Oryza sativa Japonica Group: one gene and its partners. The protein of the gene in region 1 binds, or shares a complex with, the protein of each later gene. Links are inferred from orthologs where the notes say so. Each region holds a gene or a part of one and is shown on either strand. Other genes may lie near its edges.

What was found.
Region 2: photosynthetic NDH subunit of subcomplex B 1, chloroplastic (region 1) and photosynthetic NDH subunit of lumenal location 1, chloroplastic share a complex: the UniProt entries of both Arabidopsis thaliana proteins name them as parts of the chloroplast NDH complex. The link is inferred for Oryza sativa Japonica Group from reciprocal best matches to the Arabidopsis thaliana genes PnsB1 and PnsL1.
Region 3: photosynthetic NDH subunit of subcomplex B 1, chloroplastic (region 1) and photosynthetic NDH subunit of lumenal location 4, chloroplastic share a complex: the UniProt entries of both Arabidopsis thaliana proteins name them as parts of the chloroplast NDH complex. The link is inferred for Oryza sativa Japonica Group from reciprocal best matches to the Arabidopsis thaliana genes PnsB1 and PnsL4.

The regions. Positions count from the first base shown.
Region 1 is NC_089042.1:10,685,897-10,690,248, forward strand, and holds the start of photosynthetic NDH subunit of subcomplex B 1, chloroplastic, read left to right. Parts: upstream 1-1,522; 5' UTR 1,523-1,719; coding exon 1,720-2,295; intron 2,296-3,051; coding exon 3,052-3,242; intron 3,243-3,763; coding exon 3,764-4,021; intron 4,022-4,141; coding exon 4,142-4,259; intron 4,260-4,352. UniProt on the Arabidopsis thaliana protein: NDH shuttles electrons from NAD(P)H:plastoquinone, via FMN and iron-sulfur (Fe-S) centers, to quinones in the photosynthetic chain and possibly in a chloroplast respiratory chain.
Region 2 is NC_089037.1:9,604,411-9,608,382, reverse strand, and holds photosynthetic NDH subunit of lumenal location 1, chloroplastic, read right to left. Parts: upstream 2,419-3,972; 5' UTR 2,299-2,418; coding exon 2,257-2,298; intron 2,181-2,256; coding exon 2,084-2,180; intron 1,998-2,083; coding exon 1,914-1,997; intron 1,771-1,913; coding exon 1,697-1,770; intron 1,587-1,696; coding exon 1,464-1,586; intron 1,332-1,463; coding exon 1,260-1,331; intron 1,075-1,259; coding exon 978-1,074; intron 825-977; coding exon 715-824; 3' UTR 511-714; downstream 1-510. Other genes in the region: E3 ubiquitin-protein ligase CSU1, read right to left, coding at 2,924-3,602. UniProt on the Arabidopsis thaliana protein: NDH shuttles electrons from NAD(P)H:plastoquinone, via FMN and iron-sulfur (Fe-S) centers, to quinones in the photosynthetic chain and possibly in a chloroplast respiratory chain.
Region 3 is NC_089036.1:32,085,202-32,088,937, forward strand, and holds photosynthetic NDH subunit of lumenal location 4, chloroplastic, read left to right. Parts: upstream 1-1,332; 5' UTR 1,333-1,407; coding exon 1,408-1,809; intron 1,810-2,043; coding exon 2,044-2,136; intron 2,137-2,242; coding exon 2,243-2,303; intron 2,304-2,431; coding exon 2,432-2,500; intron 2,501-2,678; coding exon 2,679-2,746; 3' UTR 2,747-2,798; intron 2,799-2,908; 3' UTR 2,909-3,226; downstream 3,227-3,736. UniProt on the Arabidopsis thaliana protein: NDH shuttles electrons from NAD(P)H:plastoquinone, via FMN and iron-sulfur (Fe-S) centers, to quinones in the photosynthetic chain and possibly in a chloroplast respiratory chain.

The DNA.
Region 1 (4,352 bases):
AGAGTTTAGGCTTACTGAGAGTCGTCCCTTTTCTCGGTGGGCAAGGTCCTCCTTTTATAGTTCAAGGGGATACCACATGCATCGCCTCTACCTACTCTTTCATGGGAGGGGGACCCACTTTACCTTGACCGGGCCACGATCTGTGCCTTCACCCGGAAGCTAAGCAGCGGCCCGTCCTTGAGTGGGACCCAGCGCCGCCCCCTTCCTAACACGGGGGACAGCCCTGTCATTCCCTTATAAATGGGCAGAGACCTTTGGCCGTCCTCCTCATGTCGGGAGAACTCCGGATGACGCTCCGATGTGACAGGACACACCTACCTCCACTCCGCTGGAGAAAAAGGCGACGTGGGGGCACGGCCGCCCGTCCAGTCAGACGTGACCGGCAACAGGCCGGTGACAGACTGGTTAGTCCTGACTGACGTGCGTCAGTCGGACGGCACCGCATGTCTGCCCCTACCGCATTAAATGCGGTGAGGGGCAGTTGGGGCGCCGCGCGCATTGATAGCGGTTCAGCCTGGGTCCCCTCCCCGCTCGCTCCCCCTGCCACATGGCAGTCGGGCGAGGTCCTCGGGGCAGGGCAGCGCGAGGGCCCGAGGGGCATGACGTGGCACCCTGAGGCCCCCCGGCCGCTTCTGCGATTCGCGAGGTGCGGGGGTAGGGCCAGGCTGCAGGGCCACGTAGCTGGATGGGAAGGTAAATTCCCCTCACTTTACATACCCCCGGGCCCATATCTCCGACAGATAGCTAGATAACATCAAATTAAGTAAATTAATGTGATTTATGATAATTTAAATTTAAATAGTATGTAGAATGGTGATTCAAACGTAAAAAGTAAGGTGGTATGACTTTATGGAAGAAGAAAAGTAGGGTAGTTTGGACCGTAGATTAATCATTTAAAGGCTAAAAACAATTGATGTGATATGACTTAATTAGAGGAAAAAAGGAGAAATATAATTTGGACCATAGATTAATCATTTAAGCACTAACTAAGTGAGGATGAACTATATAAGTATGTACTTCCTCCGTTTCACAATGTAAGTCATAACATCAATATGAATGTGGGAAATGCTATAATGACTTACATTGTGAAACGGATGGAGTAGGATTTTATAAAATATAGATATACATTGAAACATTGTGTGAATTATGTGGGATGATAATTTAACATGCTTGTATTTTAAAAGCTCTTAAATTATAAAAACTATAAAATTATAGATAATATAACATGTTTGCATGATGTTTAAATGTGATGATCGTTAGTGGATGATGATGTGGCATCTGGTTAATTAGTGGATAATGATGTGGCATCTTTGCATGTTAAGCTTAAATGAGTTAGTGGGGGGTAATTTTATAGTAAGATAGGATTAGTTCAGCTGTCATAAAGATAAATCTTCTACAATTACTCCATTCTGAAAGATCCTTGTAGAAACTCACAAGTATAATCCAAACTCCAAAAGAATTTTCGGAGGGATTTTGCCAGCTGCCACATCAACAAAAAGGATGAACCAAATTAAAGGAGATCGAGGAATGGTGGCACAAGAAAACAGGACCAATTGGCACCATCATCGTGCACTTTATCCTTCCTCCTCCACACATCCCTAACCCACCACATCCAAACCCCTCCTCCACACACCAAAAAACAAAAAACATAGAAATAAATAAATAAAAACAATAGCAATATCCAAAGCAACTCATCAGCACACTCACTCTGCAACAAGCATGCAGACGCCAACCATGTCGACGTCCATGGCCACGCCGGCGAAGCTCCCCTCACCGCCGTCGCTGCCGATAGCGAGGCAATGCTGCTGCCACCTGCTGCAGCTAGGGCGGCGCGGCGGCGCGGGCGTGGCGCGGGCGTCGGCGAAGAAGAAGAACCCGTGGCTGGACCCGTTCGACGACGGGCCCGACGACGAGTTCGACTACCGCGGCGCGTTCTCGGGGGGGAAGCAGGAGGAGGACCCGCGGCCGCCGGAGGACCCGGCGAACCCGTACGGGTTCCTGCGGTTCCCGGCGGGGTACAACCCGGAGCTGGATAGCCTGGCATCCAAGGTGCGGCGCGACGTGCGGCGGGCGTGCTGCGTGGTGTCCGGCGGGGTGTACGAGAACGTGCTCTTCTTCCCGGTGGTGCAGCTGCTGCGGGACAGGTACCCCGGGGTGGTGGTGGACGTGGTGGCGTCGGCGAGGGGGAAGCAGGTGTACGAGATGTGCAAGAACGTCAGGTACGCCGACGTCTACGACCCCGACGACGACTGGCCCGAGCCCGCCGAGTACACCCACCAGCTCGGCGTGCTCAAGGTAAACCAAAAATTATGTCACTGCTACGTACAGAAATAGTCACTCAAAGTGGGGATGTATATGTTTTAAACTCGATCGAGAAGGGATTATGTCCACTCGTTTATTCAAACTTCATCTAAATAATTGTTAAGAATTCTTTCAAAATTGACAACATACACACCGTACGTGTAAAGTACTCAAAAAAAAATCAAGTCAAAATTCAACTCACACATTGAGAAATAATTAAAAAAAAATCCAACATATGAGTAGTGTCATGTCTGAATTCGTCTTTTGTTTCCTCAAAGCATAGATCGAATTTAAATATGTTTTTATGGAGTAATAGATGTTATTATGCATTGTCATTTTTTTTTAGAATTTTTCACAACCAATTACATTGAATTTAGAAAATAAAAATTACACGAGAAGATATCCTCTCGAGAGATTAGAATTCTCTCTCCTTCAGAAGTGTCATGCCCAGCCCAGGTTTACATTCTCTAATGGTCAGCAGATTTCGACTTTCGAGCCATAGTGAGTAATCGGTTTTTCATTAATTTCGACAAATTTCAAACAAACCATTGGAGTTGCACATCTCGAGCCGGTTCGATATATGCGCTGAATTTGTTCAAAATTTATTGTGATTCTCTAAACATAATAATATCAGATAAACCTGCTTAATTATGTTGCTTCCCCACCACATATGCTCAGTATTTTGATTAGATTATATTTATCATGAAAGATTCAACCAACTGAAGCTTGATTTTGTGTTGAGGTTGGCAGAACAGGTACTATGATCTGATCATATCGACCAAGTTGGCCGGGATAGGGCACGCGCTCTTCCTCTTCATGTCGTCGGCCCGCGACAAGGTCGGCTATGTTTACCCCAACGTCAACAGCGCCGGCGCCGGGCTGTTCCTCACCGAGATGTTCCGGCCGCCGACCACCAACCTCGCCGACAGCGGCTACAACATGTAAGATCATCATCCTCCTCTTCTCCGCGGTTTCGCCTCCCCTTGGTTCATAACTGTTATAATTTCCTCATCCGAAAAAGTTACTGCTTTGGCATTCTTGTGCTGTATAGTTGCATTTAATTTATATAGGGGCAACTGTCTCATCTTTTGCCTTTGATTTAGGTTGAAAAGCCATAACAAAATGAACTAGGCAACCGAATATGATTTGTTGGCAAAACTTTTAACTGTTCTTAATGGTTCAAAAGTCAATATTGAGAAATAAACTATGATAAGGAAAACTCAAAATCAAATCTAAAATTAAATTTTAAAATTTAATATTTGGTTGCGGCTAATAAGACAAACAAGCAGAGGCAGAGTTATAACCCTTATAGTAAAGCAGATATTGCCTAGCTCTTCTTTTGCAACTTAGGAATCTTGCTCAATTATTCTTGTAGAAGAGTTGAACCAATTACCGTCAAAATCCTATAAAATTCTTGCAAAATGCTTTCTGATTTCGAAGAGTGTGCAACTGGATGGATTAGGTATCAGGACATGTTGGAGTGGATTGGGCGGCCAGCGAAGGGTGTGCCGGAGCACCCGGTACCGCCGTTGCGGGTGTCCATCTCCAAGAAGCTCCGAGCGTTCGTGGAGGACAAATATAGCCGTGCCGGCGTCGAGAAGGGCAAGTTCGTCGTCGTCCACGGCATCGCCTCCGACTCCTTCGCCAACATGAGGTCGAGGGGGGACGATGACTGCCTCCTCCCTCTCGAGCATTGGGCTGAGATCGCCAAGGAGATCAGGTTTTTCACCTCACCTCACTCACTCACTCAAGCACGGCTGCTCTTACACTTACATTTCCAGCTTGGTACCGATTGTGAGAAGGTAGAACTAAAGCCAAAAAAATGGTGGTGTCTTGGCAGCTCTGAAGACAATGGTCTGAAGCCTCTGTTTGTGATCCCTCATCAGAAGCACAGGGAAGAGGTTGAGGAGACTGTGGGGAAGGACACCAATATCCTGTTCATCACCACTCCTGGCCAAGTAGGTTCTTTGATGCTTCTTCATTACAATCACTTTGCAATCTGAAAACACCTTAGATCATCTTTCACAGGTAACATTACAATTCTTTATTAC
Region 2 (3,972 bases), on another chromosome or scaffold:
TCCTAGCGCGTGATCAAGTTCCTTTTCGCTCTGTTCAGCCAGGGGTCATGGTTCTGTGGCTTACCGTTTTGTCGGAGGAAAAATGTTAGGTGTCGCTGGCGCTGCTCTGAATGAGCGGAATGGTGACCTGGTCTTGACAACAAAATTTTAGTCTGAAGATTCAGATGACTAGCTTTGTTGAAACTCTAGGAACTTATTCTGGAAATAGTTAGCGGGTTTGGAGGGGAACTTATTCTGGAAATAGTTAGCAAGTTTGGAGGGCATTGTAATTGTTGTAATATATGAGTTGCAAACATTCTTTCTGAGGCCTGTGTACTTGATTCCTTTCGCCTCTGTAATGTATTGGTTTGATCGTGCACACGTCTGTATAGAAACGCTGTTGATCTGTTAAGTCCTTGGCTCCGGAGACTATGGCCTAATGGTCTGCCTTTTTAACTGATGGCTACTCGTCGCTTGCAAGTTGCAACTGATGGTTGAACCGATTCAATCAACATAATTAGATGGCTATAATAGAAAAATAGCTCTAATAGCATACACACAATTAATTAATTGAAGTCTATAAGGTAATTATGCATCCTTTTTCCTGGAAGCTGAGCCAGGGTGTTCGATCCAGCACTTTTTCTAGTGGTAGATCAGCGTCTGTATGTATGTATGTATCTACATGACTACGAAGCAATAAAATAAAAGATATTTCTGCAATTGAACTGCCTCCCATCACGCGGTGAGGTCGGACAGCTTGAAGGAGTCGGCGACGACTTTGAGCCTGTTCCTCAGCCTACTCCATCGCCGCTCGTTCGCCGTCACGATCAGTGTGTAGTACCGACCTGCCATGCCATTGCCATTGCCATCAGGTTAACCAGCTTCTTCTTATGAGAGGAAAAAAAAATACATGCATGATGAAATATACAATTTAATAGATGATGATGATATATATCTCTGCGATCTTGTGGTGAGGAGGCATCATATCAATATCATACCGTTTCCAATGGCAACCGTCGCAAATGCGGACACGCCGTAGCCCGGGGCCTCAAGATCGTACTCAAATGTCCAGTAGTTCTTGCCATCCACGGTGCGCTGCGAATCACAACAACTCAGTTGCTTATTTTGCTTGCAGAGTTGTTGCAGTCTTTGTTATAGCCATTCCAATGAGATCAGACGTAAATTAATCAGCGAAAGAGCAATGCAGCGACAGTTTGGTATACTCAGATAGATCATATGGCTAAATAGTATTGATTGAAGGAGATGGATAAATGGCAAACCTCTTGCATGTCATAGACAGTTGGTATTTGATTTGGAGCAGCATAAACATTGTTCACCAAATTGAAGATCGCCTGATAGAGGAGTATGTAAATTGTCAGAATAAAAAAAATCTATGATGTATAACAAAAGAAAAGGCTAAAAAAATTGCCTGATTCCTTTACATTACCAAGAAAGATATTATCAGATATCGCATGAAATCCTACCTCATCCATTGGACCAAGGTCACGGATATCTGTTTTTGTAGTAGGAATGAAGCCCACACGCACGCACTGCAGCGCTACATTACGATCTTTGAACGCTGAATCATGCCCCAGGAAGTCGAAATCCTGAAGTGACACATCAAAACAAAGGGCATACATCAATACCATGTACCACCGAAAACACAGTCATTGGAACTGACATCTCTGTTCTTCAAGACGAAAATATTGCAACCTACCCTCCAATCAGCTGGATACAGGTATGAATATCCATCTTTTGAATCCACATAAGACTTGTAATTCTTTGGCACTTCTGGAATATAGGAACAATCCGAGTTAGTATCATCTCATGGTGCCATAAAGGCTTAATGGCTACTTGAGAAGTGGGAACTTGTATGTAACATGCAGACAACCTAGTACTGAAATAAAACCATGCGACAGTTCAGATGGCCATGCCTTCAGCATATGCAGAGCTGCTCTTTAGCAGACCAGTGGCTAATGCTCCAGCACCAAGCAGAGCTAATCTCCTCCTTGTCACATCTGTAAGATGGAGAGATAATCAGCCAAAAAAAATGTTAATCTTCAGAAACAAAATGCATCGAGAGAACTGACAGAGAGGAATTTACTCTTTTCATCCGAGGATGCTTCACTCGAGCTAGCGTTGACGACTGACAGAGGAGACGCATTCAGCTTGCTGGTAACAGCACAATTTGGAGCAACCAACTGAAAACAACACCGATATAAAGTGGTGAAATAAACAAGATTCAGAAAACGATGAGAAGAGGGCACAAGCACACACCTGCTTGGAAACGGAGCAGATCAAATTCTGCAGGCTTGCCATTTCACCTGCAGGAGTAGCTATGAACCTGAAGAAAATACGTGTTCTTGCCTTCCTCCAGTCAAGTTATCCTTTGCTGCTAGGACTGGCTCGTTCGCTTTTCAAGTGTAGTCTGTGTGTCTGTGTGAGTGGAGGGCAAGGAAGCCAGGTCAGCATTTCCATTATCCTCATTAGAACTTTTGGCCTTGTCTCGTACTGAGCACTGACTGACAAAATGGGACCAATCCGTTCCTGTTGTGATTGTGGTGGAGATATGTGAGAGCTTTATGTTTTTCCAATTCTCTTTTTACCTTTTTTTTTGTACATTGACTTTGGCTGAAAAACAATATATGTACACACACACACACACGATCCTACCATCAGATCATGCGATACATATTCGATAGCTTCGATGTAACAAGAAAGATGATTTTGACTGTGCTTCAAACTTGGTAGATAAATAGTACAACAGCTGCGAACTAACGCATTTAGCCATAGCAAATAAGCAAAGCTGCAATTAGCAACCATAGTGCCACTAGCATAACAAGACTGAATTTGCTCCAGACTGTTCACAGCGAAAGGGGATGCTTGAAACAAAATTTTCAGGTTAACATAAATAATATACAACAGCAGCTAAGATATTTTGAGGCTAGTAGTTCTTTGGGGCAGGTTTCACTAAACCCAGTCCAGAACCACTCCCCAAATGCTTGAAATCTCTCGCCTCTAGACGCTCATCATGGGCAGCGAATCCAGTTCCTCCTTTTTCCAAAGGAACGAAATTCCTCTCCTTGCACGGTTTGTTGCACACCAAGCAGACCTTATCAGTTACAAGGAACTTGTCAGAGCACTTCTTGCAGAAGACATGGCCACACGTGCTGATCGTCACCAGGGACATGGTGTTTGTTAGGGTAGACTTGCAACTGGGGCACATGTAGCTCTTCTCCACCGACTTCTTGTTTTTCTGGTCGGTGTTTTCTTCAGTGAAGGAGATAGGGAAGAGCGATTTCAACTTGAGCTTCTCCTGTCCCTCGGGGCAGATTGTGTCAGTGGAGGGAGCTTCTACTTTGGCAGTAGCTTCAGGTGTAGCTGATGGAAGCCAGAATGCCTTCATGTTGCGAAGGGCTTCCTCCTCAAAGGAAGTAACCTTCACGCTGTTTGCTCCATGAAAACCATTCTTGTCTTCAGAGCCGCTGCGATCGTGGTATTGGGGGACGGCTCCATGATTCTGCTGATCAAAAGCGTCCAACTCCTTGGACTTTTGCAGCATACGCTTCTCATCCTCCTCTTCCTTCTCCAGCTTTTTCTGGGCCTCATGAGCAGCAAGTTTGCTGGAAGAACAAGAATTAACACTCAGAATTCCATCCGATTCATTCAGTTATACAAGCAGAAGATTTAAGATTATGTACGGAGATTTCAGATGTCCATTAGGCCACAGGAATTCTAGGTAAGCAAAGTACAAAAGGGAGACCACTTTGCCTATCAACACTAAGAGGTTAACAAACATACTGTGAAAACAAGCCAAAGAATGACATAGGTTTAGGTGCCTAAGGTACCATAGTCATGGCTACTGAGCCTGTACTATACAGGGTCTATCACCACGACATATTGGTGAAGGATCCTTCACCAGTCATCGACCGTGATGACATATGCTAGGCATATTAATCCAATGACCATTGGCAATTCGCAATAGGAGATCAT
Region 3 (3,736 bases), on another chromosome or scaffold:
ATGACGACGACGATGACGGGGGGACGGCTTGGAGCGGAGCGGCGACATTGGCGACAGGCGCGTGCAGAGGCTGACGGCGGCGGCGACCGGGCGGTCGACCACTCGGCACGCGCGCGCGGCTTGCAACGGGCGGCGTCCGCGCGGGCGCGCGCACGCGAACACAGCGCGCGGGAAGCGGCAGCGAGGGAGCGGTGAGGGAGGACTTGGCTCGGCGCGGGCGGCTTACGCGTGCTGGCTCGCGGGGCCGAGCGGAGGGGCGCAGGGCGCGGCTCTCGCGCTCGCGCGTGGCGCGCGAGGGAGGGGCGCTCGGCGCGGCGACGCGCGCTCGCGCGCGCGGCGCGGGGCGGAGCGGAGGGAGAGAGGGAGAGAGCGGGGGCGCGCCGGGGAAAGCGAGAGAGAGAGCCGGGAGAGAGAGGGGAAGATGGGCCGAGGGAAAATCGGCCCATCGACCCTGGGGGAGGCAAAATGGACTTTTGCGGAGGAATTTGATTTGGAGGGATTGGATTCGGAATTGAACTCGACGATAGATCGGGGATTGAGATCTTGAGATGGCACGGATACTAGACAACAAGCAAAGAAACAAATTTCGCAATTAGGGTTTTTAAGAGATAATTTCCCCGCTAGGCGCCACGACGGAACGGGCGCTACAGCAGGTCTGGCGAGGGGGGCGGGGAGGCCGGCGAGCTCGCCCTCATCCCACCTCCAACCCCTCCCCGCCTCCTCCCTCTTCGTATGCACTCGCTGCCGGCCTCCCCGCCTCCTCCCTCTTAGCATACGCTCGCTGCGGGAGCTGTGGGGGATGGCGGCGTTCTGGCTGCAGGCCAACCCCATCCTCGTCGGTGCCGCACCAAGTTGCCACATCGCCACCCGTCGCCAGCTGCCCTACCAGCCTCCTCCGCAATCCGCACCCGCTGGCCGCCCTGAGAAGAGAGAGAGGGAGGGAGAGGAGGGGAAAATGGGAAATAAGAGAGAGGTGATGATATGGCATCTTACATGTGGGACCCACGCGCTGACTCAGCCGTCACGTCAAATAAAACCGGGGTCAAAACCACCGAAGGATCTAAAGTGAACGGTTTTGTTAGTTGAGGAACGCCTGATATCTGGTTTTGCGGTTGGGAAACGATTTTGTAACTCGATGACAAGTTGAGGGACCTTCGGTGTACTTTTTCCTGGAATCATCTGTCGTTCCACGGGCCACGGCCGCCGTTTGGCGACGAGACACGCGGCTTGGCCCGCAAAAAAAACGAGGATTCCTTCCTCGGTCCTCGGGTGTTGAGTTGGGAAAGCCCATGGCCCGTGACGACGTACGCGGGCGTTTATAACGACGCGACAGAGAGGTGCCCGCGTTGCAGCAGCCACAGTTTGGGGATAATCCGATTCTCTACTCCCCAAGTGACTCACTCACCGATGGCGCCTCCTCCTATCTCCTCCTCCCTCTCGCTCATGGCCTCCAACCCAATCCCGTCGCCTCCGGTCGCCAAACCGGGCAGGCCGCTCACCGTCGCGGCGTGCAGCAACAGCAGCAGCAGCTCCTCCTCCTCCTCCCCGTCGTCGACCTCGTGCTCGGCTGCCTGGAGTCTCCCGGTGGCGACGTCGGCCGGCAGGAGGGGGCTGCTCGCGCTGGGCGCGGGGTTCCTGGCTTCCCCTGGGCTTCTGTGCCCCGCCGGCGACGCCGGAGCGACGCGCATCGAGTACTACGCGACGGTGGGGGACAAGCTGTGCGACATGAACGTCGTCAAGTCGGGGCTCGGCTACTGCGACGTCGAAGTCGGCACCGGCGCCCAGCCCCCGCGCGGCCAGCTCATAAATGTCAGTTCCGACAGAAGAGTTTCTCGCACTTTCTCTAGAAGAACCTGTGTTTTCTGAATATGATTAACTCCTGTATGGAGTAATTAAGCATTGGCAGATCATAAATTTGCCCAATTTGCATCAGTACCGATCCTTTAGTTAGTTCGACAACGAATAAACCTGCCATTTTTTTCTCGCCATGACACTGATAGGAGTTTCAAGTGTGTTAATTGGAGTTGTGTTCATGGTTGTAAGGTACACTACACTGCAAGATTTACTGACGGGATAGTGTTCGACAGCACCTACAAGCGAGGACGGCCACTGACAATGCGCCTTGGCGCAGGCAAGGTGCGCAGCTTTTGTTCATTGCACGTACATCTTCGATCGTAGCAAGCATCTTATGTAGTTATGCAAGGAATCTTATTGTTTGGTTCGTTCGCATTTTCATTCTCAGATCCTCCGAGGGCTTGAACAGGGAATCAGTGGTGGCGGTGGTGTGCCACCCATGCTCGTTGGTACTGTCAGAAATCCAGAAATAATAAGCATATGCATCTCTTTGTGTGTCAAATGCTAAAAATATAGTACTGCTTTTATTTTTCTTAATCACATCGTGTCTCTGTTGAAAATCGCAATAACATTACAGGTGGAAAGCGCAAGCTTATGATACCTGCAACTTTGGCATACGGACCTGAACCAGCAGGTTGCTTCTCAGGTAATAACGAAAGAAAAAAAAAAGTAATCAAACAAGTAATCTTAATTTAATTCTAGAAATTTGAGACCAGATTAAGTTTCATGTATTTAACGATGTTTCAGTGCTATCTGTCTGGCTCCCTTATTAGCATTCGCTAGAAAAAATATACAAATTTACAGAAGATTTACTTATTTAACAGGAGACTGTAATATTCCCGGCAACACCACACTCCTATACGACATCTTCCTGGTTGGATTTTACAAGTGAGCATATGATGAAAAGGAATATGCATGACTTGAACAGACTAGGTGCAAACAAGGTATGGTGGTGGTATTCTGAACCTGTCTGATTTTTTTTTCATCTGAAAACAGTATCCCTTGCCTAAAGGGGTTGTTGTTTGTTACATAAGCATGTTACATTCTCTGGCAGATTTTCGAGTAAATTTTGGCGTTTCATACAAGAGGCGGGACTACGGACAGATGAAGAGAAAGGGTGCGACATGCCTAAGCCCAGACGCCGAAAGCAAATGCGTCACCGGAGCTCCTTGGGTCTCCAATACGCAGAGTACTACATTTGCAATCTGTACCAAGAAGTGAAAGGATATATAACAAACCGGTCCTCTGATATACTATCAAATTGGTCTTATGTTTTCTAGAGAAGAAAAGTCTTGTGTTTGTGTAAGTATAACGTTGTAAAGACATGTCTCATTATTCATACTGTCATTGGTACAGCCAAACACAACAAAAATTCCCATCCTTTGTGGCAAGTCCTAACTAAATGAAGTTGAACTCTGACTGAATATCGATTGACTGGTGACTTCCAAACCTTCAACAGTTCAAGCAAGCTAATCGACTGTATCAATACTAATGTACTCAAAAAAATGTCGAAAGTTCGTGTCAAAGCACATGTGCAGTAGTAGCTTTGAGCCTTTGACTGCTGTCTGCACTGCAGTATTGCCACAAGATAATTTAATCATAGGTTTGTTAACCATCAAATCGAAACATGCATTGTTCAGACTTCAGAGAATATCCTAAAATCCTTTTATGAAACCAAAGAACACCCAAATCGTGAGAGTTGAACTATCGATTGACCGGTTCAGAGCCAGAACTGGTAGGTGAATGAGGGAAGAAAAGGAGAGCTGCCATTTCCGTGGCAGGAAGACTCAAGAATTCCAAAAGCTTCTTGTCGGTTTAAAACGAAAACCTTTTTCGTCAGATGCTCTGAATGCTGCTCGGTGTCATGAAATTCCTCATGGTT